Neodiprion lecontei: one gene and its partners. The protein of the gene in region 3 interacts with the protein of the main gene of each other region in a pairwise test. Links are inferred from orthologs where the notes say so. Each region holds a gene or a part of one and is shown on either strand. Other genes may lie near its edges.

The links.
Region 1: the proteins of cysteine protease ATG4B (region 3) and microtubule-associated proteins 1A/1B light chain 3A interact in binary tests that used the Caenorhabditis elegans proteins (3 or more experiments, as listed by UniProt). The link is inferred for Neodiprion lecontei from reciprocal best matches to the Caenorhabditis elegans genes atg-4.1 and lgg-2.
Region 2: the proteins of cysteine protease ATG4B (region 3) and gamma-aminobutyric acid receptor-associated protein interact in binary tests that used the Caenorhabditis elegans proteins (3 or more experiments, as listed by UniProt). The link is inferred for Neodiprion lecontei from reciprocal best matches to the Caenorhabditis elegans genes atg-4.1 and lgg-1.

Annotation. Positions count from the first base shown.
Region 1 is NC_060264.1:31,140,171-31,143,928, reverse strand, and holds the start of microtubule-associated proteins 1A/1B light chain 3A, read left to right. Parts: upstream 1-900; 5' UTR 901-1,386; coding exon 1,387-1,429; intron 1,430-1,720; coding exon 1,721-1,883; intron 1,884-2,126; coding exon 2,127-2,289; 3' UTR 2,290-3,758. UniProt on the Caenorhabditis elegans protein: Ubiquitin-like modifier involved in the formation of autophagosomal vacuoles (autophagosomes). When lipidated mediates tethering between adjacent membranes and stimulates membrane fusion. Less effective at promoting membrane fusion than lgg-1.
Region 2 is NC_060263.1:16,256,791-16,260,397, reverse strand, and holds gamma-aminobutyric acid receptor-associated protein, read right to left. Parts: upstream 2,758-3,607; 5' UTR 2,629-2,757; coding exon 2,539-2,628; intron 1,158-2,538; coding exon 960-1,157; intron 819-959; coding exon 753-818; 3' UTR 532-752; downstream 1-531. Other genes in the region: 60S ribosomal protein L22, read right to left, coding at 3,305-3,452. UniProt on the Caenorhabditis elegans protein: Ubiquitin-like modifier involved in the formation of autophagosomal vacuoles (autophagosomes). When lipidated mediates tethering between adjacent membranes and stimulates membrane fusion during autophagy. Recruits lipidated-lgg-2 to maturing autophagosomes.
Region 3 is NC_060261.1:33,998,897-34,002,654, forward strand, and holds the start of cysteine protease ATG4B, read right to left. Parts: upstream 2,494-3,758; 5' UTR 2,321-2,493; intron 2,069-2,320; 5' UTR 2,044-2,068; coding exon 1,941-2,043; intron 1,872-1,940; coding exon 1,701-1,871; intron 1,587-1,700; coding exon 1,409-1,586; intron 1,324-1,408; coding exon 1,244-1,323; intron 1,161-1,243; coding exon 1,009-1,160; intron 921-1,008; coding exon 842-920; intron 756-841; coding exon 601-755; intron 524-600; coding exon 352-523; intron 263-351; coding exon 195-262; 3' UTR 1-194. UniProt on the Caenorhabditis elegans protein: Cysteine protease required for autophagy. Cleaves the C-terminal amino acid of ATG8 family proteins lgg-1, to reveal a C-terminal glycine.

The DNA of each region.
Region 1 (3,758 bases), on a different chromosome or scaffold from region 3:
GCAGAACGTCGCACGAACCCGCTATTCGGTCTCTTCTCCGCTCACGGCGCCATCTTGCCGCAAATGTTGTTAACTATACGCGCAGGTTAGCATCTACGTATACAGTGTAGCTGTACATTTTGATGGTTTCTCGTAATATACTATGTACAGTAAAATGCATAAATGCCTTACCTATACGGATAATTTGTTTTCGGTCTAAAACAAAATGCGAGTTCACTTTGTGTGACGATACAAACAACGTAACATGCAGATAACGTGAGATAATAAATCAAAGTAGCATTCTGTTTCGGACCGAAAGTAAGTCAGTCCGGAGGTTAGGGCATTCATGCACTTTCCTGAACAGTAATGTTCATTAATGGGTTTACGCTGACTGACTATTTTTTTGTCATGAAAAGTAAAACGAGTGTTCTTTCTATAGAAATTTTACGTGTCTTAGTTCAACGCATCGTTTATTTCGAGTAGTTTGCCTCTTTCTGTTACTTACGTCGCTAGTCACTGGCATATGAAATTTGATTAGAAAGGAAACTCCTTACAGTTTTTATTCCAAAAAAATAGTAAGCCAGTGAGAATTTATTAACGAATATGACTAAACTAAGAAATGCTTTAAGCTTTTGCACAAATTTTGCAACCATAGCAGTGGATTTAGAAGTAAGAGAGACGCGATAAACATGAAGCATGGTTGTAAATGCAAAAACCTTGTCCGTACAATTTTCGTACTAACGGCGTGCAACTGACGTCGGCGTCACAAGGCTTAGGTATTCCAAATTGGTTCAAGCATCAGTGCGACAAGAAGAGCAAACGTATTCTGTCTCCGTTTGTAGAATATCCGAGGCGAAACTTATAGCACGGTCTTTCGATCTTATCAATTTATTTACTTCGTGGCGTGTTGTTTGCTGCCCAGCAGTAGGGGAGAGGAGACAAAAAAGTCCGTTAGGAAGCGAGGATTCAAGAAGAAGTACAGCAAAAAGACGCCAAGCAGCTAATCAAAACAAAAGAATAGTTGATGATCGCACACGATAGCGCAGATAATCGTTAGTTTGATATATCAACACTATTACAACGAGTGGAGCTGGAATCGTCGCAATAATCACTAAATAAATATTTACATACGTATGTATCATAACTCCGAGTGCATTGGTCAAAATTGATCGTGTTGACATTTCGATCAGCCTACCAATCATTAGCATTTTATTTTTCCCACGAGAATCGGTAACGTCGCATTGACAAGATACTTACTTTTGAGTAATACGCTAGTTAATGCGTGCGACTTGAACGCGCAAATTGTAGTTCGTACAGATATTTACATCTACGCACGAGAAATACAAGGAATTGAGTCGCAGTTCCAGTACCCAATACCATAAAGCAAAGCTCAATAACCGTGAGAAAATGAAGTCCTCATCAAAATCGTTTAAAGAAACGCGTCCGTTCGGTAAGTAAATAAATGAATAAATGATAACATCAAATTTAGGTTATTTAATCTACTGCTTAATGCGTATAAGGCTATTAATTTCGCTATTCTGCACGTATAATTATGGAAACAAACAAAAATAATAATAATAATGATAACCGTAATCATAACAATGAAAATAATATGCGATAAGATGTTTCTTTTTAATCCTTGAGAGAGCTAAAACCATTTTTATTATATAAATAAACAAATCGAAAACCACCTATAATACTTCTTGTTCACTATTTTCAACTTTACTTTGACTATTTACAGTGCAGCGTGTCGCTGAGGTTGAATTAATTAGGCAACAACATCCAAATAAGATTCCGATAATTGTCGAAAGGTTCGCCGGAGAAAAACAATTGCCAATTATGGATAAATTCAAATTTTTAGTACCTGATCACCTGACTGTAGCCGAGCTTATAAAAATTATTAGGTGAGTCGCAATTTCACAAAGGAATCATGTTTCATTTTTATTATTTTTTTTTTAGTGTTCTTACTAAATTGTACCTCATTCAATTATTTCGAATTAATCCACTTCTTTATTATCTCTCTCTGAGATAGGTCGCCAGAAATTTTCTTTTATATCTACTTTGTGCGAAACAATTTTCTGAACATGTTGCAGTAGTTTAGTAAATCAAATGACATAAAAACTCTGTTTTGTCATGCTTGGAAATAGGCGCAGGCTACACCTTCATCCGACCCAAGCATTTTTTCTGTTGATTAATCAAAGAAGCATGGCTAGTGGAAGCTTGACAATGGCGCAGCTCTATCAGCACGAAAAAGACGCCGATGGTTTTCTTTACATTGTTTTCGCTAGCCAAGAAGTATTTGGTTGCTAAATTGCGACTGGTGTGATTCTAGGTGAGTCTTCGGTGATTATACACAAATTGTAAGAATTACCTATATAATATGAAATTAAAGAACTTGGCGTACTTATGCTCTGTGTGTTGCAAAGAATTCATAGCTAGTGCCAAAAACTGCTGCGTGAACATTAAAGATGACTAATATCCAAAAGGAGGATGAATTGTTACACATATCTTACTTTTACTTGTATTTACTGACTTTTAATGGTATCAAATACATGCAAACAGCGATGTAAATTATATTCAAATAAATATCAGTAATTTTATCGAATTATAATACAGTGTATAGAAAGCTGGGTTTTCTATTTGAAATAACATTTTCTTGAAATATTATCCTATATCTGTTGTTAAAGTGATATAAAAATTAATAAAATCAATTCACTGCATTGTTGTTGTTGAGTAAATTTCAAGGACACTTTACCTGTAATATTTACTGTCGTTTTTTTATTGTATTTCATTTACATTAGGATACATGAATCAGAGGATGCCTCTGTCTTTTCTATACATGCATGCGTTACAAATGTCTAATACTGAAAACCGACTTATTGCTATTTCAGATTTAATTATTTTATACAAAAATATCGAACGACGGGTGATAAATACTGTTGAACTTATTGCAACTGTGATTAGGCTGTTGCGTGTTGTGTGAGAATAAGTTTGAGAATACATGAGGGACATGTTAAATGCAAACTGAATTAAAGAATAAAAAGGAAAGTAAACAAATTATATACCTCCAGTAAAAAGAGAGCTGATAATCCTAGTAGTTGATTATTCTTGACTTAATTATCGTTTTATTGTACCCATTCATTGTACTGAAAGTTTAATTATCACGTCAATCACTATAATGTTATAACAAGTCGAACTACTAGTGTGAAACAGCTCAAATACTTGATGAAAAAATACTACGAAATATCATATTTTTATTTGAGCCTGAATGTTGACATTGAGATTTCTTTATTAACCGTTTTTGTTTAAGCGTCATATCCTATTGTTACTTATTAATTTGTATTAACTACACTCGCACATGTATAATTATATCGTGATAGTTCCTCAAATTGCCTGCTGAAAAATAATTGTTTTGTAACAATCTTATCCTTATTCAAGAAATGTTACAGTAGAATCTAAACAAATAATCTCCTTTATGATAATATTGGAATATATTTACAGATAAAATGTATTAAGTAGCGGTAATAGTATTTTGTACGTTAGTAGTTAGTTGAGGAAAATGGCAACAAAATATTCTAAAGTTAACAGATTTTGCAATATGTTCGTACAAGTATTTTTTAGTAATTAGAAGATTGTAAGTTTTTCTCATATTATAATTATTAATTTTTTTGAGGCTGATAGTTTTTCTTAGTAATATCAAAATTCATTTGTTCGTAAGATCTTCATAAACCAATCGAAACGAAGTGTTTCGTATTTGCTATTTTTGTTTATCTTAATCA
Region 2 (3,607 bases), on a different chromosome or scaffold from region 3:
GCACACATTACCAGAATAACACAGTTAGCACACTGGAGGCGTTAAAGACCCCAACCACTACAATGCATATCATGAGTAAACAATTGGTTATTTTAATTAGCAGAAATGACCAGAGAGTTTTCAATCCATCTTTCAAACGATAGTACGGGTCATTTTGAGAAAAAAATGTGTAATTCCAAAAAAATTTTAAAGTTTTATCCAATACACTTAAGGTATACTGTTTGAACTAAATAAATCATTTGATAGTCGTTGCTGATAAAAAGGTGTTTATTTTGAAAATTGAAACGATATAGTTTAGTAAAAGTCATGATGCACTTTTGCCTCAAACTAAGAGTAGAAGATGCCAAGGCTAAAATCGGAACTAAATTGGGTGGGGTCATCTCGTATCCTGGTGTCCCAGCTAACGGTTAACATGACTTCATACACAAGTGACAAAAAAATTGTACAAAATGAAACTTAGACAGAAAAAATTACTAAAATATAATAAAATTTACACAAATCAATTACAAAGTATTTAGATTCTCTGGTCACTTTTAATCAGTTGATACAGAAATACAATACGATTCTCATCATCATACTTTTTGCTAATTTTTTTTTTTTTTCATTGCATATGGTTTCTTTTTTTCTAAACCTCTTCTTTAAAGCCTCTACAAATGTAGACTAAGTCAAAGATGGTAAGTTTCAATTGTTTAATTTAAATCAAATTGCATCCATAAACTTGTAGCAGTAGGTGGGTTTACTATTAATTCCCTCTAATTTCCATAGACATTCTCATCGCTGTACGCTATGTAGAGAAAGAAATCCTCTTCATGGTGCTCCTAAAAATTTAAATGGTACGATGTAGTATAATATATGCATCTCAACATGGTAAGTAAATTGCATAACAGTGCAAGTTTGAATAAAAAAGATTTAGGCCTTTATTTGAAAGTTGAAATCTAGAGTTTTGCCGGCCAATTTACCTGGTAGAGAGCCCCCATTGTTGCACTGGTAGGTGGAATGACGTTGTTGACAAAGAAGAAGAGGGCATCCTCGGGACGCAGGTGAATACGCTTACGAATCAGGAAGTAAAACTGTCCGACTGTCAAGTCGGAAGGTACAAGGTACTTCTTTTTATCAAGGTCACCGATTCTCGCCTTGGGAGCTTTCTCAACGATAACCTAGTTCCAACGAACAGAAGATGTCTGTATAGAAAATTAGCATTCGCGTAGTGCTATACAGTAATGTCTGATCTACGATTTCGTTCAAAAACAACAAAAAACATTCACGGCTCTCTTTGTCAGGAAAAATCTCGCAAAGAATAAATAAGTAATAGGCAGAAAGAATAGTTCAATTGCAGATAACTTCAAGACAAAATTAACGTGAATAGTGCATGACCAGCTTGTTGTTTTAAACATTCATCGGGGTTCGAAGCTTGCGCAATAGTATATTTGGTATGTATACAGGAAACTTAGACAAAAATAAATGTAGAAAAAAGTAAATCCAAGCTGGTAAATGTGACATATTTGCACACGGTTAGTGATTTTTGGCACAAAGGATTACACTATTATACCAGCCTGCAAATACACTAAATTGCACGGTTCCATAAACCTAACGTAATTATACATATTCCGTGAAAGCACTACTAGCAGGATATTAGAATGTTAAGTTGCACCATTAGGAAACTAGTTTAATATACACAGTTATTATGTTCGTACTAAGCCCCGTTTTATCTTATCAGAGATCATACGAATTAATATTGTGGTTAAAAATCGCATTGTTTATCCACGCATTGAATAATATTCTCTAGTTAACTGCAAGAGGAACAATATTATCAGAGCTCTGGAAAATGACGCAATTGATTTTTATCTCTCTTTTCCACGAATTTTCTTCATTTTCTACTACTTTCTTTTTGCTCTAAAAAAGCATCGGAATAATTACGTAGGTCGCAAGCGAGGCAATGAATACAAAACGACGAAACTGAAATCTGCAGGCATTGTGCCGCATACAACATTGCGCGTAATTTCAACACTGTAATCGATAGTAGATATTCAGAATGAAAAGTTGGTATTACACAAAGAATTCGGCGGTGGTTGAAAGATATTGTTCAAAAACTAGAAGAGACTAGAGAGAGTAAGAAAAAACAAAGAGAAATGGCGCTGAAAAATGCTAACTGTTCCAAAAATACGACGCAGAATAGCATCTCAGCGAATGTATACCCAAGGCATCGACCTTGGACATCGTGTGTATCTGGCATCAGCCGGATTGCATAAATGGCAAGCAAAACGCGACGTCCCAACAAAGAATAGATATAATAACCAGCAGACGGTAGTCAGTGTGAGGAGTAGACGCGATCGTTGGAAAATAAATCCGCGTCATTATGGCTCGCAAGTTACGTTGCCGTAGTTGGGTTCTCAACTTCTTTTTACGTAACGGTGACAAATGTCTTTCCTTGGTTAGCAGCTGACTATATTGAAAGTAACGTATAGACACGTTGAAACTCAATGTAGGTAGATACCAGGTTCTTCACTTGAGACAGAAATTTACTTTCATGAAACTTACGGGAACACGGTCAGGATATTTTCGCCTGATTTTCTCGCCCTCCGCCTTCCTTTTCTCGAATGGATGCTCCTCCTTGTATTGAAACTTCATTTTTCAATTTTATTGATACAAACAAAAATACTTTTCCCGATAGATTTCGAATGGAGACGACTAAAACTGCTTTTACGACTGGACCACTAACTGTCACAACAATTGCCGTGCGTCAACTGAACGCTGAACGCCGCGCGGACTGGACTGCGACTTTACTGCGCGGAGTAAAATAGTCCTCCCCCTCCATCACCCAAGTCGTGAAATCGATAAGAATCCTATTCATCTTACGTGAGTGTAAATAGACCATAACTGAAAATGAAATATCAACTATATTTAGAATAAATTTCACTATTCTTTATGGGTCTCTGTTTATAAAGCGTTCAGGTTATGAAGGAACGAAGGATGTATTACTGCGCCGTTACGCGATGACGAATGACGTTGCAACATTCTCGTTCTGTACTTAGACGTAGAAACGCCATTCGCTGCTTAACTAGATTCGATGAATATGGAAAATGATTTTAGCCACGTTTCGCTAATTTCAATTCAACACACCGGTATCACTGGCTAGCCAATGTAACGGGTCAGATATTCAGTTGGAAGATAGACGAGTCTCTTGGATATCAGAACAAGCTATAGGTCGACTTGCATATTAACGGCATTTATTATTTGAACAATATTTATGTACAGATGTTGGTAAAGACCGTCAATAAGCGCAAATAGATGTAAACAATTTCGTTTATTCGGCATCATCCTCGTCGTCATCTTCTTGGCTGTTTATCTGGAAGTACCTCAGTTCATAGGTATCCTTGTCTTTTGAGACGACACGAAGCCAGTCACGCAATTTATTCTTCTTAAGGTACTTCTTAGTCAAGTATTTCAAGTACCTGAAAAAAAACGTTTCCAAATTAGTGCAAATATCGGTATCTGAACTGAGTTCAGTCTAAGGAGCGGTAAATAATCGTTTGTAGTAGTATCTAACGATCAAATAGAGGAGAATTATTCATATGTCATAAGTGCCACATCCATTGTGCAAATACAC
Region 3 (3,758 bases):
TAAAGATTTCTTAAACAAAGTCTGTTTTCATTTTAATATTTTATTCTTCAACTAGCTAGCTACACTAAGGCTTACCTTAAATAATTTCAGATAAATTTTATTTTTATTGAAGTCAAATGTACAGAGACGATCTTGTATGTGCGATATTTATACTCCCTTCTCAATTAAGCATTTGTAGAATAGTGCAATTCTGCTTAACCAAGAAATTCAAACTCTTCGTCCGAAGCATCGTATTGACGGTCAAGATTTTCAAATTCCAGTACTGGAAAAATCGTAAGTGAAACTTGGTTATTAAAGTTCACCTACATCAACTTCTATGCAATCACTGTGAATAAATTTCATTCAACATACTCCCTGAAGCTGCAGCCCCTGCTGCTTCAGCTGTGTAATCATCCACTGGAGACCAATCGGCAGGTTTTTCTGAGCATAATTCAAATAGTGGTTGTTTCTCTGGATTAATCAACTCATCCTGTATCGATTTGCATAACGATTTGAAGTCTTCCTCTGTTGCACAGAAGAAGCACTGTAATACATTAATATCAGTATTAACGTAATGTAGATAGCTTATTGTCAACTTTTTTTTTCTAATTTACTACTTACCAGAGCAACCGAAGGATCTATTCCAGTTATAGGAATGCGGCTAGCGGATCTACAGTGATAAGTTGTGTCTGTTTCCATCTCGCCTTCCTCAGATTTTTGGTCGACAGAACCAGATCTCTGTGTCGTATGTGGATCAAGGAAAATAACTTCATCACCTGAATCATAAAGAAATTAAATAGTGAATATACAAACATCTTGAGAAAATTTTACCGTTGTAATTACAACACTCATAAAAATTTACCAACGCAGCCAATGAAATACAGAGCCAAATTTGGTTTACCACCAATAACACCAAGGGATTGTTCGATTTGGAAAGAAGTCTGCAATAAGAATATTAAATTGCTCTGAAATTTGTCACTTATCTTTTCTTTGGATACGGATTATATTTTCAATAAAGCATGATAATACCTTAAGGCCATTAACATACACTGGATTAATCTCACTCAGGCCAAGTCTTAGAGGAACGATTAACAATAATGGTTTCCATTCACTAGGTGCTTTCAAAGGCATTTTACCATCTACTTCTACAGTTGTTCCACCTTCTATTTTACACTGTCTCACTGAAATGATCATTTCCACGTATGAATAATTACGTACTACTTGATAACAGCTCAGAGCTTCAATTCCATTATATTTAACTTACTAATGTCATTAACAATTATTGTGTTATCTAGGGCTACATGTATCGTTATCGAACTCCAGTCGTCATAGACAACGAGCTTCCTAAAATAAAAAATCTCAATTACTTAGTTTTCTAATAACAACATTGAGATTTCAAAAAAGTTTATTCATAATTACTCATACATACTTTAAAACCTGTGCTATTGTATTAGGTCCAAACCACTGGCCAACTTCTTTACCTTCGGATGCCCCCATCACAGCAATTTGATGAATAGAAAAAGGAGCAGCTCTACGATCTTCAAATCTATTCAATATTTTTAGATACGTGCTGTCTTTAGTTTCAGGGGTCCAGAGCCAATCTCTTCCTGATTTAATTCAACAACAATACTCCAAATGAGAAAGTGGTACAAAGAAAATCATTTTAAATAGTTTAGCTATATAAAGTTAAGTTAGAGGAATTAAATGGCAAATAAAAATACCTAAATGTAAACAAACTAATGCCTGTCCTAAAACCATCTGTCCGCATCTTAGCATGCAGCCCCATCCCTTGTCAGATGTAAAACTGGAGCTAGAACCTCCAATAGGCACGAAACCCTTACGATAAGTGAACCATAATTTGGACTTTATATCACGCCGAATAGCATCAAGTTCTGAAATGATTTTACAGTTATTATACAGATCAATCAACTGATACTTAATCATTAAAACTGATTGGTAACCTTTTATGGCATTGTATTTTTTTCCGAGGATCCATACAGGGTCTTGAGTATGTGGAACATCATCAGGTTCATCAGATAAGTTTTGCGTAAACAAGCTGTCCATTTCGATCACCTTTGTTTACAACAACCTTGGATTGGAATTTTCGAATGTATTGTTAATACAAAAATTGGGGCAAGTTGGGATGAATCAGCAATGTGAGAATTCGCTTAACTACATTATCCTACATGTTACAGGTCATTTTATACATTCAGTATAAATAAATGGTGACCAATAGATAGGGTCAATGTAGGTTATGGTAAGCGATGTTAAACAGCGATCTATTGTCTTCGCATATACAACACGCAATAGCGTTCCATGATTCTCATGTGTTTTGATTTACCTGTATTTAATAAAGCTGAAAACATTCGTCATCGTATAAACGGTTGTCTAATCATGTAAACCTTTCTTGATAACAGTTTGAACACTCACGATAGAAGCTCTGACTAAGGACTCAGAACTATAAACATTGTTCAACTCTGGTGACAGGTATCAGCTGTATGTGAATATGCATACATACATACACACACACATACGTCAAGCTTCTCTCTCTCTCTCGTTTTTTGTCTCTCTGATGCAGCAGAGATCGAGCTTGAGTCTGAATTTTTACTGGTAACAGAATGCTGCTAAGTTGCGGCGGCATTTCGCTTGATTTCGCTGCTAGTGAAAATCCAGCTTGAGGAAGCCACACTCGCGTTTTTCACATACCCACGGTGTGCCCACGGTCCTACATACTTCCATATGAGTAGCTTCCTTAAAGAGCTCACACGAAGTAATGCTATTGTGAGAGCTCTGTATACTTACTTAGACCCTCATTAAAACCCGAATGAGCTGATTTTTTTGAAAATCGTTTGTCGGTTTTTGCTACATAGTAAGTTCCCGAAATCGAGAACATGAAAAACGAGCTTAGGCTTTCTAGTACCCTCCGACAAACATATTTGGTAAAGCCCGGTGTATGGTGTAACACAAAGCTACTGATCAGAAAACGACGTAAGATATTATTTGACGATTTGCAACGCAACTTGACATCAACAATATGCAATCACAGCTCCATCGTAAGGCTAGATTTATGGCACAAATCAACTATAATCGCAACAGTGTTACACAAATATGAACCAATGCAATTACCGAGTCAAGAGTCTGAATGCTACGGAGTCAATATAAAGAAAAATTAATTCCTAAATTGGAAGTTCCTTTTTTTTTTTGTCAGAGTTTCAGCAGATTTCTTCTTGATACACTCAGTACTAAAGTCAATATTACTTCTTGACGACACAGCTTTACATTTTCACACCTAAAATGAATAAATTGAGCCCAAAGGTTTCTCAAGCTTGCAACAGTTAAAATTTACATAAAGGAAAATTTGAAAACTTCAATAAATAATACCATACCATGTATACCTGTAATATCAGGAAAGTTTTATTTACATAATTTATTTTTATCATAATAATAATCATACTGATACTTATCAATTATCATCGTTATAATAAATAGAATCAATAGTTGCTTTTTTGTTTAAGATTCGTGAGAACTTACGCTCTCTCTATTAATATCAAATATCTATTTAGATCATACATACATATATCGTATATATAATATATATATATATATATATACTAATGATACGTGGAACGTTATCAAGTAATAACTTATAACAGCAGGCCAAAGCTATGCATGGTTTCCACTACGATTGAAATATGGAATTGCAGTTTAAGGATAAAAATAGGTTTGTTATTATTTCTTCAAAAAATCTTCTGTTTATCAATGCCCATTTTTAGTTGACC